Drosophila melanogaster: one gene and its partners. The protein of the gene in region 2 interacts with the protein of the main gene of each other region in a pairwise test. Each region holds a gene or a part of one and is shown on either strand. Other genes may lie near its edges. The genes, in order: CG1572, CG17991, Gos28 and BomT2.

Region 1 (5,742 bases), on a different chromosome or scaffold from region 2:
ATATTTCCAGCCAGCAGAATGCAAAATGCAGCCAGCAGCGAATATAATTAAATGTAATTCTTTTTTTTTTCGATAATCATATCTTAATGCTTGATATACGAGTTGTATTTATTAGGCGAAACGTTTGTGTGGTCGGCGATCGAAGGAGGGTCAGTTAATTGTTAAAGAAAAATGCTTAATTTATCGTAATCGATTACCCTTTTCTTTTATATTTAATACTTGCGTGTACTTCTCTTAATTACTATGATTTTTTTTTTTAATACACCTAAACCACTTATTTGTGTTTACTGTATATGTAAATTAGTAGTTAAAGGCGAGGGCTTTATGCCCATCAACAGATAATAAAAACTGCGCCAGAGGGAGCGAGAAGTGTGTTTTAATTATTATTAGTAATTAGTAATTTCAATTGATTTTTTGTGTTTAGAGAATCTATTTCTATGAGAAGACAAACAAAGATGCAAATTCTATTATATATTATATTATATAGTAATTATTTTATAGATAACTAATTTAAAATATATTCAATAAAAACCATAAAAATTACCACCACGTTTTTTCTATTACTCTTTGGTATTAAATTAAATGAAATTATGATTTCATCGAATTTATATATTTGCTTGCTAACAGCAACATTTCCCGCATGGCCCAAAAGTATGCAACACTTTTTACGATCGGTTCAAAATCAAAAAGTACAAAGTACACTGGCCAACACAATTAAAGCATGCCGACAATAAAAAACTATTGCAGCTGAAGCAACAAATAAACAAACTACTACACATTTAGAAAAAACATATAGACACACATCTTTATTCGAATACATGACAATCTGTTTGGTACAAAAGAAAGTGAGACAAAAAAAAAGTTTTGTATATATCGGTAAAAGTACAAGTAAGTGTAACTAGCGCCAAAGAACGTTTCACAGTACAACAAAGATTCCGCCGCTTGGCACCCACTTTCTCTACATCTATGTTTGTATATCCCTGGGCTCTCGCCTCCTTCTCCTGCTTCGCATGACCAGTGGCTAGAGTTGGTTGTGGGAAGAACAAATGCTTCGAGATTGCAAATTCCACTTGAATGGCCGAGTGGGCGGTGGGTTTTGGGTGCTTTAGTGCTTAAATGCCGCGATAGGATCGGTGGGCCAGGAAGGCGCTGATGAAGTACAGCACCGCATTGACCAGGCCCAAAACACCGGCTGCCATATAGGCGTCGTGCTTTACATCGCGCAGCTTGAGCAGCAGGATGGTGGACGAGACCAGGATCAGGATGGCGGCCACACTGTGGTAAATCAGCTCCTGCAAAAAGGTTAATGGTCGTTGAAATGCACGGATTGCAGATACAAGGCGAAGTATATATATGTACGTTTGGAGTTCCATGGCTAATACTAAAGTATACAAAAGATATAGCAATGATGATTATACTCACATAGATCGTCTTGGCAATAATGCCGCCCGTGCTGAGCGACGTGAGGCAGGCGAGGAGTAAACAGAACGTTCCTATCATAAAGGTAACGGCCATCAGATAATGGAACAGATCCTGCTGGCCATAGAAGTATCTGTGGTAGTCCTGGTAGTTGAACGCCAGAATTCCCACAATGGAAGCACCAATGATCTGCGCAAAAAATCGTGATGGTTGTTACATTAAGTTCAAAGTTGCTATCGAATTCTGGGAGCATTAACGCACCAGCTCGAAGAGCTTGAGGATGCCGGGGAAAGTCTTCAGATAGCCCGTGTTCAGGACAATGTAGGAGGTGTTGGTGGTGCTGGTGGTGGTGCGGGTAATGGTCACTGAATGCGACATCTTCGCTCTGCTTCGGTGGTTCTTTTCGGGGGGTTAAAGGTGGGGTCTGCAAAGACAAATAAATAAATGAATAAACACAAAAAAAAAGTAAAATATTGGATGCTAATACCAATACAGAAATATAAGAAACTTCGGTGATAAGAACTGAAATTAAATAATAATACTTATCAAATTGTAAATGCTTAAAATTCGTTGAAATAAGCCAACAAATTTGCTGGTGATTCATGCAAAGTATATTTGCATCCATGTGTTAATTTATGGTTTAATTATTTGATTAAAATGAGTAAGTCTTAGGTTCTTTTTCTTTCACTTATATTCCCCGAATATCGTAATTCATATGGTGTGTTTTTATTTATTTATTGCTTTTTTTTTTTGTATCTTTTGTACTTTTTGGCCAGCTGTTACAGATCGAACGCCCTTGCCACGCCCATCGATCTGCAATGTATCCATACAATGTTTGTGTATTTTTGGCCATCCATTTGTTGCTGTTTTTGTTTTGGATTTTTGCTTTTTGTCTAATTTTAAAACAATTTTCAATGCCGGCCTCGCAGGCGAAAAAGCGCCAAATGCGTTATTGAAGCAGTGGGAGAATCGGAAAAATCTATTTACTTGACCGACGAGAGAAAACCCCCCCGCCCCATACAGAACCACTCCTCTCCCCCCGCGCAACGATTTCCCCCCTTTTTGGGGATCGGCAGCGAACAAAATAGATGAATCGCTCTCGTCTATATGTTCACCTAGGATTGGATATATGTAAGTCTGTATGTATGTACATATATGAATGTATGTAGATATGTATGCATAAACGTCATGAACTTTATGGTCTGCTGCCTGCTGTTCGTTGTGGAAAAGCTGAAGGAAAACTGAAGAAAAGCGCCTCGTTCGTAATTGGGACACACACACACACACACACACACTTTAAGTATACAGATGCCGTGGGTGGGCATAATGGTTATAGGGTATTCGCAAATGCCGTGCCAGATCTGGAAATCAGATTGTGACTATAAGTTCTGACTTCAGATTTGACGATTGGTAATCAAGCCGAATAACATTGTAGGCAAACAAATAAAACCAGTTTAGCTTAAAACAAATAACAAACGGAAGGATAGTGAGATTAATTCCAAATTAACTGCTCTGCTATAGCTATATTTGCTATATTTGGCTTAAAACAAACATGAGTTAAATAAAAGCCTTGTAAGACCCATACAGAGGAGTTGAAAATCGTAACTAATTTTATATTCTTGATATTTTAACTAAGCAAGGAAGAGATCAATTTAGAAAATACCAACGAATTATATTGTTTTAGGAAATGTGCTCATACAAGATTGATGGCAATTGGAATGGGGTTGGATTTCAGAACTTAGACCTTCCTCAAAATCGGTGGCGCATTAGACGAGTTCAAAAACGATGACGCCACCGGTGACGCAATAGTTTACACACAATGTGAATGATGCTCATCGAAATTCACAAAAGTGGTAGAGGCACATACATACACATACATATATACATATGTATATCCCAGTGGCATGGAAGGGGTGCGGCCCAAATTCCGAAGCGTAATACCGAAACCAAAAACCGAAAACCAAAAAAAAAAATAATAATAAGAAAACAAAACAAAGCAAAAACCAAAATAACAAGAACCCATGTGCGACATTTTATCGGAATTAAACAAAATACATTCCGAATATTGATTAGATGGCGGATTTCCGCCGAAAAGCGGTATGATATCATGCCTATGATGTACGATAGTTTAATTCGCATGCCAAGCAACTTGGCCCAAGCAACAGGTTGTTGTTTTGGGCCCTTTAAGATTCCTCTTTGGAACCGGAAGAGATGAACAAAGACGCCGCTTTTGTCAATTTCCCAAATGACAACAACTAATCAATATACATATGTACCAAAAGGCAAGCTATCAAATGTTCTGCTGATAAGAATATTTCCCCACTGCAAACGCGACTCACATTCGGTTTCGCATTTTCAACTCTGGAAATGATATCATCGCCGTCAATAATAATGCAGTTTAATGCTTGTAGGAGAAAAAAAATTAACAACATATTAATGCACAGCCAAGTACCGAGAATTCCAATTCCTTTTGCTTTTCGAAATGTACAAAAAAAATATATAAAAAAAAAAAAAAAACAATAAAACACACATATAGTCCCAGCGGTAGAAATGGGTGGTATGTACCTCTTTCTCTCTCTGTATATCTAAAGTTTTCGGTATGGATCTTACTCTTACTTTTCTCAAAATTCGGCGTAGGACTCAGCCAACTGGTTTTCCTCGCACTTTTCTTTCGACTTTTGCGTCTTTTCGCGCGCACGTTGCAAACGAAACTGAAACCGAAACTGAAAAATAAAAGCGTTTGGCCCGCTGCCTCTGCCACAGTTTTCAGCGTCGCAGTCGACGCAGCCGAGACGAAAACAAAACAAGACCCAGCAGAAGCCTTCCAGGCCGATTTACTGCGACTCGACTTGGGGGATACCCTGCATCACTTAGAACACTTCACAAGCGAATTAGGTTGGTAGTACAAAACATGCATTGCAATTTTTTAAATATGTCGCTTTTTGGGCCAAAAAATGCGAAATAATGGTCCAAATATGGATTGTTATACCTCGTTGAGTTCGTATTCAAAATTCTACTCAAACTGTGTTTAAAATTTGGAATATTAATTTTATGCCATTTTTCGCAAATTTTGATGATGTTACCCCTTACCAAAAATGCGAAAATCGACCCAAAAATTAATTTTTCAAAATCCATCAAAAAGTGATAGAGATAGTTAGTAGTGGTAATTAGCTGCACAAAACAGTCATTCCTGCACTTTTATGACCATTTTTAGACAAGTTATGATAAAAACACGCTTTATTTAAATCGTATTTTTGGCCGAAAGTCGTTTTCCAGATTTAAAGGAAGAAAATATTTAGTTTTTTGGCCACAACATTGGAAATAATGATCCAAATATGGATTGTCATACCTCGTTGAGTTCGTATTCAAAATTCTAATCAAACTGTGTTTAAAATTTGGATTTTTAATTTTTTGCCATTTTTCGCAAATTTTGATGATGTTACCCCTTACCGAAAATGCGAAAATCGACCCAAAAATTAATTTTTCAAAATCCGTCAAAAAGTGATAGGGATAGTTAGTAGTGGTTTTTAGCTGCACAAAACAGTCATTCTTGTACTTATATGACCATTTTTAGATAAGTTATAAGAAAACACCCTTTGTACATATCGTATTTTTGGCCAAAAGACGTTTTCCAGATTTAAAGGAAGAAAATATTTAGTTTTTTGGCCACAACATTGGAAATAATGATCCAAATATGGATTGTCATACCTCGTTGAGTTCGTATTCAAAATTCTAATCAAACTGTGTTTAAAATTTGGATTTTTAATTTTTTGCCATTTTTCGCAAATTTTGATGAATACCGAATATGCAAAAATCGACCCAAAAATTAATTTTTCAAAATCCATCAAAAAGTGATAGGGATAGTTAGTAGGGGTTATTAGCTGCACAAAACAGTCATTCCTATGCGTTTATGACCATTTTTAGACAAGTTATGATAAAAACACCCTTTGCATAAATCGTATTTTTGGCCAAAAGACGGTTTTCAGATTTAAAGGAAGAAAATATTTAGTTTTTTGGCCACAACATTGGAAATAATGACTGGTCTATGCCACCCGGATGCGTTTTCATCCAGGGTATCAGCAAGGCAATTCAGCCAACAACGCCAACAAGTTGACTTGACTGCTGGCTAGCGCGGTATAAATGACGCCTGACGTCATGATGTCATCGAGTGAGCGGCAGAGCAGCCAAGCAGCGGAGCGGCCAACCTTAATATTTGTAATCTTCAAGTGCAACTAGGCCCCCGGCCACGCCCCCTTGACACTGTTCATTGGCCGCCCACGGATTGGCAATTAAAAAGAAAGGAATTAAACTTGCTAGTGGAAG
Region 2 (3,195 bases):
AGGCCAAGAAGCAGTCGGATCGGACCGCCAATCTCAAGGGCGCCGCACTCTTTAGCCCCGCCAGCTATACACCCCAATCGGCAAAGAGGAAAGCAGGTTTAGAAACACCATCCAACTCAGTGGCCGGCAAGCCGGGCGATATAGTTGACACCTTCGGACATCCCAAACTCCTGGCTGGCTCCAGCTGGCAGTCACAAATGGAGCACACGGTTCCGGTGACTCAAAAACTGCTGCACAACGACGCCCCGCTGACCATCGCAAATTTGGGCTACATGAACGACCTGCTGACCGACCGATGTCACAACCTGCGCGTCCGCTTCAACCAAACCGGTCCGGCACTAGTGGACAAGAAACTTGGACAAGCAGGCGCAGCCGAGTGCATTTGGTATCCGCAGGATAGGCAGGTATTGCAGTCCGCAGGTGGACTCCACGCGGTGGGAATGATTCATTCCGAGGACGATGGCCCACTGGACGCCCACTCCGCATTTATGGCCGTTTTAGATGACGATGTAGAAGATGAAATGGACCCAACGCTCACGCTCAACTTCTCCAGGGTCAAGTCTGCCAGCATATTCCCAGGTCAAGTGGTGCTCGCCAAAGGGTTCATACCCAGGGGCAAAACCTTCATGGTAGAGGAGATACACACAGAGCGCAAACTGACGCCAGCAACGCCACTGCAAATAGACAGGGAGCTTCAGTTTGTGGTGGCCTCCGGACCCTTTACGGACAGTACGGATCTCTTCTACGAACCGCTGCACGACCTGCTCAAGTACCTCAAGGATCACAGACCTGACGTGCTGGTGCTCACGGGACCATTCCTGGATGCCGATCACAAGATGGTCGGCGAACTGGCCGAGACCTTCGATACATTCTTCGAGAAGATGATTGGGGGAATAATGGAGTCGATTGGTAGTCACACAGCAGTGCTGGTGGTGACCAGTCAGAAGGATGCCATGGCTCTTTCCGTATATCCAACGCCGCCGCCCGCTCTGCGCAGAACCTATCCAAATCTATACATGCTGCCCGATCCATCTCTGGTGGACTTGGATGGCTTTACGCTGGGCGTTACCTCAACCGACGTGGTGGACCACCTGTTGAGTCACGAGTTTGCTGTGAATGCCGGCGAGCGGATGCACAGGGCCATCAACCACTTGTTCCACCAGGGCTCCTTCTATCCTTTGTATCCGCCGGCGGACGAAGACATGGCCTACGATTCCCAGCTGGCGTTGAAATATGCACAGCTCAAACAGCTACCAAATGTGCTCATCTTGCCCAGCGATCAGCGGCATTTCATCCGCTTGGTCAACGACTGCCTGGTGATCAATCCCGGCCGTGTCGCGGACAAGAAGGGTGGAACTTTCGCCCGATTCCTGGTGGCGCCTTCGGTGCCGGGAAAGGCGGCCAACATGTTCAACAGTGTGGCGTGTCAAGTCCAACGCATCTAACCTGACCACTTTGTGATGATGATAAGGAAAGGATAGTGGGAAATAGATCAGTACAATATTATTAGTTAATATAATGAACACACTACTTTGTCATAACTTTTCACAAAATACATTCAACAACAAACAACTAGCATTAGTTATTTTGGGCCAAAGTAGGTATTGTATTATTTGTAAACATATGCCCTGGAGTTTTCTCAGACTCAAGTTTTATATACAACAAGATCAATAATGGCTAGCAACGTTGCTGCGCCACAAGCTTCAGCTGGAGGAGATTCGACGGAACTGGAGCGCTGTTGCTGGATCTGTTTTGAGACCGATAAGGAGGCAGGTCGCCAGGCTTGGGTGAATCCATGTCTCTGCCGAGGAACCAATAAGTGGGTGCACCAGAGCTGCATTTCCCTCTGGATCGACGAGAAGACCCGAATAAACAACAATCTGCAAGCCGTTTCCTGTCCACAATGCCAAACGGAGTACACCATTGCATACCCGAATCTCTGGATTTTCGATAGGGCTTTGGAGCTGACCAACGATCTTATCCTAACAAACTTATATAATTGCCTGGCCAATGTCTTCACGGTGGTCTTTGCCTATTGGTCAGCGGTTTCATTCGGAGCAAAAACATATTTGCAGATCACTGGTCAGGAAGGTCACGTTCATCAAATAATTCAATCGGGAGACCTGTTGGTTGTTCTGGTCGGATTCCCATTAATCTCGGTAGTTCTGATACTTGGACGCTTAATTCCCTGGGAAGATGCCCTGTTGCGCTTCATTAGAATATGTTATTCATTGCTGCGAAGTCTTTCAATGATGTGCCTAGGACGGAAATATGACCACCAGACCGAACCATACCCTTCTGCGCCAATGACCGAATATTCAGCATCGCGGGTGGTCTGTGGAGCCATCCTCTTGCCCACCATATCCATGTACGTGGGTAGAGTTCTTTACAGCTCTGTCGACGATAGATTGCAACAAACTCTTCTTGGGGGATTGACTTTCATAGCGATCAAGGGATTCCTCAAAATGTACCTCATGCATAGCCAATACATCTGTCGTATGAAGCGTCGTGTTTTGGATTACACGAAGGAAAACCTAGCGGAGGCAGACGGACACTAGGTAAACTCAAGATCTGCAAGAGAAGCAAGAAGTAATTTGAATATCTATTTAAATTGTAAAGTGTACAATTTTCCTAAGACTACGTGTCAATAGTGCATTCTTACTACCAATCATAAATAATCGTTAAAGCATTTATTAATTTATGCATAATAGTTTACAGCTAACAGTAGGAAATGGTGTCTAAATGTAATGTACTCCCTAGGATCTCTATGCACGATTGATCGATCCAGCCCCCTCTTTACGGAAGTCAACTCTGTATCGAGGGCGCGATCGTCGAGAACTAAAACTCCAATGTATATTTTAACTATACAAAAAATACTGTATGCCGTGTGTGTGTCCAATGAACTTGGCCGCAACTCAGATGCGGTTAAGTAACTGCGCGCCACCTTAAGTAATCCTCGCCTAACGTCTCACTTCGTTCGGCTTCTGTGCCTGGTTCCTGGAGCTGCGTCGTCCAACAACTCGTTCAGTTGTTGGGCTCCTGCTTGTATTGTTATTGTCGGTTGTTCACCCCCTCGGGATTGTGGCTGCTGACCATGCTGTGCTCCATGTTCTTCACGATCACATAGTTGGTGATGTGGTTGATGGCCTCGTCCTGCAGCCGCTCCGGCCAGCGCTTCATGTACGATTTGATGAA
Region 3 (4,058 bases), 8.6 Mb from region 2:
CCACGGAATGAAGTTCCTCCTTGTCCTCGTCTTCCGGCATCTCCTCAGATTCTATTGGAGCTTTAGCCAACGCAGCCTTCGCAGCCTCTTCCTCGTCTTTTTTGGCAAGCCTTTCCTTAATTCTCTGGAGCTTTTCGCGCTTTCGTTCGTCGGCGGTAGCAAGACCCTTGTGTTTAGCTCCAGACTCCTCCCCTTCCTTTGAGGCTTCGTCATCCTCGGCTGGCAACACCGTTTCGCCTTCTCCTTCTATTTGATCTACGTTAGCTGTCTCACCTTGGATTTCTGCACCCTCCGCCGCTTCCGCGATCGTTACTAGTTTGGGAGCATCCTCCGCGGCTGGAATCTCCGCGGGTGGAATCTCCTCGGCATTGTCTATGGGGGCAGCCTCTTCTGGTGCATTTTCAGCCATCTCTGTGCAATTGAAGTCGTTTCAATAACGTAAATGTTTTAAATGTTTTGGGTTTCTTTTTGGTATATACATAAGTTGTTATGTTTGCTGTTTGCCTAAAATTATTAACTGCTGCTTGAGATTAGAATCAATGGCTGTTGGGTTTTGTCTTATATAGTACATTTTATTGCTATCACAAGTTAATCATACACATATACCGTCGGAAAAAACAAACTAAAATTCAATTGTCTGTAATGGAGTTTAATGCAAGCTCTATCTTTGGCCAAATCGCGGTGGCGGGTCACTAGTTGAAGGCGTAGAGCAGCAGCAAGATCACACAGAAGCCAATAACTGCTCCCAGGATCAGCGAATCGCGTCGCTTTTTAATGTTGATGCGCTGAATGAGACTGTGCATATACAACAAATAATTGGATAAGTAAATATGCATAAATTGAATTGAGAACTCGTCTGTCTCACCTGGAAATCAGTGGGAATCGATTGGAGATATCGTTAAAGCGGGTCTGCAGCCGCTTGAATGCTTGTCGCTGGGCGTGAAGATGGTCACGCGTCTCAATCGCGATATTTATCTGATCGTTGACCAAGTGACTGGCGCTGTTGAGGTGCCCGCTCTCCTTCAGGTACATTTCTCGCCGGTTTAGGCCCGAGATGGATGGACTGCCGGAGCTGGTGGCCAACCCTGAGCCACGAAGCAGCTCCTCTCGCTCGATTCGCATTGTGTGATTGGCGCAGATCTTATTGAACTCCTGGCGATACCCCTGCAGGATCTCTCGATGCCTCTGCAGTGTGTGCATGGCGGCTGCTCCAGAGGCGGGCAAATCGGACATGGACTCATTTAGCGAGGATAGCTGCAATTAAGAAGGATGAAATAGAAATGAAATCCTTCTATTCTATAGAAATTCTATAGATATGGGAATTGCCTAAAAAACGTAGATAACTTAACAAGCAAAACAATTTGAACATTTTGTGCTTCAGTCGGTGACTCATTCATTACTTGGAATTATCTATTAAAGTATTTATCAAATGGAATTCATTTAGCGAATTCAAAGAGGAATTCTTAAACATTTTCTTTTAAAGAATTTAGCAAAGATCAGAGCATAAAAAAAACTCGAATAATAAAGTATAATATATATACAGATTCATAAAAAATTGGAAAGTGATGGAATGTTTTCAATATATATAAGTTAATCGTGGCAGTTTTTCAATTGTGTGCTCAATTCTGCCAATTAAATTATGATTTTTGGGAAGGCTTAGTGGGAAATTAGTAATTCATAGTAGCACAAAGCCGGTGGCACAGAAATTTGCTTAATAAATAAATAAGGAATCCGCACTACATTGTTTCGGGTTTAATCCCTGCACCATCGCATGGCATTGGGTCACATATCGCACCTTCTCCAGCATTTGCTCGATCTCCTCCGACAGCGAATCGAAGACGTGCTCGCCCAGGAGCGGCGATGTGTCAACGCCTCCTAGTCCTCCACTTCCACCTCCTCCACTGCCAGCTCCGATTTTGCTGAATGCCACCAGCTTCAGGTCGATCTCGTTTTCCAGGCTCCGCGCCTGCTTCCTGAGCACTGTGCGGGAGGTCGAGAGGAGAGATAGCTTATATGGAAGGTAACCATTAAGTCCCACTGCTCACCATCGTAGCTGGATCCTCCCATTTGTCAAAAATAGTTTTCCTTTATTTGTTCGACTTTCGTGTGGCAATCGGTGTGACCAGGTCAGGCGGGGCCCAAGTGGAATGAGTTGAGAGTATCGGGAAAGATTAATAGCCAGATTTAATCTAGGCCCTACTTAATGAACAAATGTTTACGAGAAAATTAAATTGTCCTAATAACTTAATGTTAATGTAAAAGGAAAAAGTACAATGTTCTTTTCCAGCCCTTGTGTGAACAGGTCCATACCGGCAGTCATCAAACTTTGGTCACACTGCCGTGCACAGCGTTTTGTTGCCGGCGATTTGTAAAAAAGTTTGTTATTGATTACATTATTTTAGACATCATGACGCAGGCAACAGGTGATGCACGCATGCCAGACGAGGAAAGCGACCTGCTGCAGATCAAGCCACTGTAAGGAATCTTGATTTAAACCAGATAGAAGCTCAAGGGTAACGCTTATATTTCAGTGGTGCTGGCCAGGAAGTGGGACGCTCCTGCATCATGTTGGAATTTAAGGGCAAGAAGATAATGCTGGACTGCGGAATCCATCCGGGATTGTCCGGCATGGATGCCCTGCCCTACGTAGATCTAATAGAGGCGGATGAGATTGATCTGCTGTTTATATCACAGTAAGTACTGCGGCGATTAAATGGGCATTGAACTTTTAATGGTGAATGCTTATATTTATCAGTTTCCACTTGGATCACTGCGGTGCCTTGCCTTGGTTTCTCATGAAGACCAGCTTTAAAGGCCGCTGCTTTATGACCCATGCCACGAAAGCCATTTACCGATGGATGCTGTCCGATTACATCAAGATCAGTAACATATCCACCGAACAGATGCTATACACGGAAGCCGATCTGGAGGCCTCCATGGAGAAGATCGAGACGATCAATTTCCACGAGGAGCGCGATGTGATGGGCGTACGCTTTTGTGCCTATATTGCTGGTCATGTTTTGGGTGCCGCCATGTTCATGATCGAGATTGCTGGCATCAAGATCTTGTATACTGGTGACTTTTCGCGCCAGGAGGATCGACATTTGATGGCTGCCGAAGTGCCACCGATGAAGCCGGATGTTCTTATCACAGAGTCCACCTACGGCACTCACATTCACGAGAAAAGAGAGGATCGAGAGAATCGATTTACCTCGCTGGTGCAGAAAATTGTTCAGCAAGGCGGGAGATGCTTAATTCCAGTATTTGCTTTGGGCCGTGCCCAAGAACTGCTACTTATTCTGGATGAATTCTGGTCGCAGAACCCGGATCTGCACGAGATTCCCATCTACTATGCCTCCTCTTTGGCCAAGAAGTGCATGGCTGTCTACCAGACGTACATCAATGCTATGAACGATCGAATTCGACGACAGATAGCTGTGAACAATCCCTTCGTTTTCCGCCACATTTCCAACCTGAAGGGTATCGATCACTTCGAGGATATCGGACCCTGCGTAATCATGGCGTCGCCGGGTATGATGCAGTCGGGATTGTCGCGAGAGCTCTTCGAGAGCTGGTGCACAGATCCCAAGAACGGAGTGATTATAGCCGGTTACTGCGTGGAGGGCACTTTGGCCAAAGCCGTTCTCTCCGAGCCGGAGGAGATCACCACACTGTCGGGCCAGAAGCTGCCGCTCAACATGTCCGTCGACTACATATCGTTTTCGGCTCACACGGACTACCAGCAGACCAGTGAATTCATCCGCCTACTAAAGCCAACGCATGTCGTGCTCGTCCACGGCGAGCAGAACGAGATGTCGCGTCTGAAGTTGGCCCTGCAGCGGGAATACGAAGCAGATGCAAGCACGGATATAAAATTCTACAACCCGCGAAACACACATGCCGTGGATCTTTATTTCCGTGGCGAGAAAACCGCCAAGGTGATGGGAAGCCTCGCAGCCAAGAACTCGGAGGTGGGAAGCAAACTCTCAGGTGTTCTGGTTAAGCGCGACTTTAAGTACCACCTCTTGGCTCCTTCTGATCTGGGCAGTAAGTAATAG
Region 4 (2,823 bases), on a different chromosome or scaffold from region 2:
ATACAAATATGTATATATACATATTAAATATGATCTTTAAATACTTGCTATTGAAAAAACTTTCTAAAGGCTCCAAAAGGCACGCCTCTTATGATGGACATTACTCATACGCACTGTTGCACGCATATTAACCTTTTCTTAATTTATTTGTATATACTATACTCTAAATTCCTATAGCCTTAAATGACGAAAAATAATGTTATAATTTTATTTTTGATGAAAACTATATAATTATTTCAGAATATAGATAAGAAAACTTGTTATTTAATAAAAATAAATGAAACTGTATTTAAAATTCGAAAAAATTACCATTAGGTGTCATTCTAATTTTAAATAATTTTGGTATTTAGTAATTGAAAGAAGTAAGAATTTAATTATAGAAATAATTGTTTTTCAAAATACTTAAATAAAGTTGAGCTTTATGCCTGAATTTCATTTTAAATTATTTACATAGCCATATTGACTTTCTTACAAAAAAAAACTATGACTCCCTGCCAATCCAAAACCATAATCTTTCCAAGTACCTTGGCTAACCTTTTTTGCATAAAACTTGCTAATAAACTGTGTGCTAATATGACAGTTTATTGATTCGGCGGAATTGAACGCATTAAAACGGGTTCGCAATACTGGGAAAAACGAATCGCATGGGGCGCCGCCAAGTCAAATGGAATCAGGTTTGCAATCTGGCCACCTTGCACGTGAATAGAATCGCGTTCTGGACCAGCTTGGATTTCCCTCTTCCAATCGCGCAGCTCGGGGCTATCAGTCTGCACTTGTTTACGCTCAATTTCATTGAGAACGTCGCACCGCTGCACTCGGGAATTTCTCGATGGAGGTGTTGGCTTTGGCTTGAGCTTGGGAGAATCCCAATCTCGGCCAGACTTTTCCCGGTGTCGCTGCCAGTTGGTTGATAAGACAGATCGGTACACTTGGCTGCTCTATGACTATATAAAGCGTGTTGTTCTCAACACTTAGCATCAGTTGTCAACGGCTAATACGCGGGAGTCAAGCTCAGAATTCAACCACAAAAACCAACAACATGAAATTCCTATCACTCGCCTTCGTTTTGGGTCTGCTGGCTCTGGCCAACGGTGAGTAATGCCAACTATTTACAAACTAAATAAGTTATTTAATTATGATTTTAATTATATTTCCAACACAGCCACTCCCCTGAATCCTGGCAATGTCATCATCAATGGCGATTGCCGCGTCTGCAATGTGAGGGCCTAAGGGCAGCGGAGAATGAAGGATGCCAGTTGAAGTTCACACAGCCACACATATTTTTAAGTCGAAAATGTAATAGAAATTCCTAGAATCAAGTGCCCATATTAAATATATTCCAAACAAAACAACATATTATTTGTAATGGGGAAATATTATTGATTTCTATAGATAACAACTGAAAGGCAGTTGAGGTTCAGGCAAACCACTTAAATGTATTCCAATTGCAAAATGTATTACAAAGTTCTAGGAAAACAAACTATGAAACAATCACTTGTCATTAAAAGACGCTTAAAGTCAGCTTAATATTTGTTATTTGTTAGTTTAGAGATCTGGAATGAGAAACAAATTATTGAAAATGATCTTAGGCGATGGAGAATACCGTATTTAATTCAAATAAATGTTTTAAAGACTAATACAAATTTTATATTATCATATTATGATTTGATTAATTACATTATTATCCAAATAGATCAGCCTTGCTACTGTATGGTTTAGCAATAAAATCGATACAGCTTACCGATTTTTTGTTTAATAAATAACAATAATTAAACAACTAATTAATAGGCACTCCTTTCCAGACATTTCTTTAAAATAACTATGTAAAATCCCGCAAAATAATTATAAACAATTATATATATAATATAGCAAATACTATATGTACTATGGCATATAAAAAGCAGAGCACTCGCACTTTGGCAGTCAGATTTATTCGAAATCCCCAAGGAAAAACATGAAAGCTCTTCAAGTCGCCGGAACTTTGATGCTGCTTTTCTGCCTGCTGGCAGCTGTTAATGGTAATTATTTAATGAAATAATAAAATATATATATGATATTTTTAGCTAATCATTTCCTTATTGCAGCTACGCCGGGACAAGTGTATATCAATGGGAAATGCATTGACTGCAATAAGCCTGATAATGATCCGGGAATTATAATTCCTCCAGACCATAAATCAGCTGGATCCATGTCTTACACACTCACATCTGGAGCCATCTTCTTTGGAATTATATATCATATATTCAGTTAAATTACTATGTAATCAATAAGTTAATAAAATAATATCTTTTATTTCTCAAAAAAAAACCTTAAGCTTGTGACAAATTGCGAACTTAAATACAACCCTTATCACGTATAGATTTAGTCACATATTAAAACTGCTATTTAACAAATCCCAACTTTATGGGTATTTAAATTGCATTTAGATTATAGCAATTGCATATTAGATTAAAATCTGTAAATTTAATTTAATTCCCAGCTTTGTTTAAACCGCTAGGAAGCTTTAAATAATTTAGCTTTAATTTTTATATTTATTCATATTGATTTTGGAATTAGATTTCCTATTTGAGACAAATCTACAATAATCTATTATTATTTATATTCGATTGATTGATCGCTATCGCTTTATTTTGTTTTGCCATTGTTCTGAATGTACATCGCCTTATCAACATTTTTTTTTGTAGGGCATTTCCAGACTGGGCACAACTTTTGTGTGATTACAACAGCTGAGATACGTACTATCCGGGAAAAACCTGATATTTAAATTTCATCATAAAGGTGCCTATAAAAGAAAACCAATGAAGTGAATTTTTATCAGTTTCA

The links.
Region 1: the proteins of CG17991 (region 2) and CG1572 interact in a two-hybrid assay, tested with the Drosophila melanogaster proteins (one large-scale study listed by BioGRID).
Region 3: the proteins of CG17991 (region 2) and Gos28 interact in a two-hybrid assay, tested with the Drosophila melanogaster proteins (one large-scale study listed by BioGRID).
Region 4: the proteins of CG17991 (region 2) and BomT2 interact in a two-hybrid assay, tested with the Drosophila melanogaster proteins (one large-scale study listed by BioGRID).

Annotation. Positions count from the first base shown.
Region 1 is NC_004354.4:11,554,504-11,560,245, forward strand, and holds CG1572 (uncharacterized protein), read right to left. Parts: upstream 4,135-5,742; 5' UTR 3,985-4,134; intron 1,936-3,984; exon of another isoform or gene 1,907-1,935; intron 1,844-1,906; 5' UTR 1,798-1,843; coding exon 1,681-1,797; intron 1,609-1,680; coding exon 1,423-1,608; intron 1,293-1,422; coding exon 1,113-1,292; 3' UTR 547-1,112; downstream 1-546.
Region 2 is NT_033777.3:27,239,659-27,242,853, forward strand, and holds CG17991 (uncharacterized protein), read left to right. Parts: upstream 1-1,608; 5' UTR 1,609-1,673; coding exon 1,674-2,558; 3' UTR 2,559-2,672; downstream 2,673-3,195. Other genes in the region: PolA2 (DNA polymerase alpha subunit 2), read left to right, coding at 1-1,445; CG18766 (uncharacterized protein), read right to left, coding at 3,052-3,195.
Region 3 is NT_033777.3:18,661,805-18,665,862, reverse strand, and holds Gos28 (golgi SNARE, 28 kDa), read right to left. Parts: upstream 2,126-4,058; 5' UTR 2,068-2,125; coding exon 2,046-2,067; intron 1,981-2,045; coding exon 1,796-1,980; intron 1,255-1,795; coding exon 866-1,254; intron 796-865; coding exon 693-795; 3' UTR 556-692; downstream 1-555. Other genes in the region: CG31231 (uncharacterized protein), read right to left, coding at 1-409; Cpsf73 (cleavage and polyadenylation specificity factor 73), read left to right, coding at 2,408-2,475, 2,532-2,693, 2,756-4,047. UniProt on the Drosophila melanogaster protein: Involved in transport from the ER to the Golgi apparatus as well as in intra-Golgi transport. It belongs to a super-family of proteins called t-SNAREs or soluble NSF (N-ethylmaleimide-sensitive factor) attachment protein receptor.
Region 4 is NT_033778.4:18,387,146-18,389,968, forward strand, and holds BomT2 (bomanin tailed 2), read left to right. Parts: upstream 1-1,849; 5' UTR 1,850-1,954; coding exon 1,955-2,018; intron 2,019-2,084; coding exon 2,085-2,251; 3' UTR 2,252-2,298; downstream 2,299-2,823. Other genes in the region: BomS3 (bomanin short 3), read left to right, coding at 1,040-1,091, 1,163-1,230.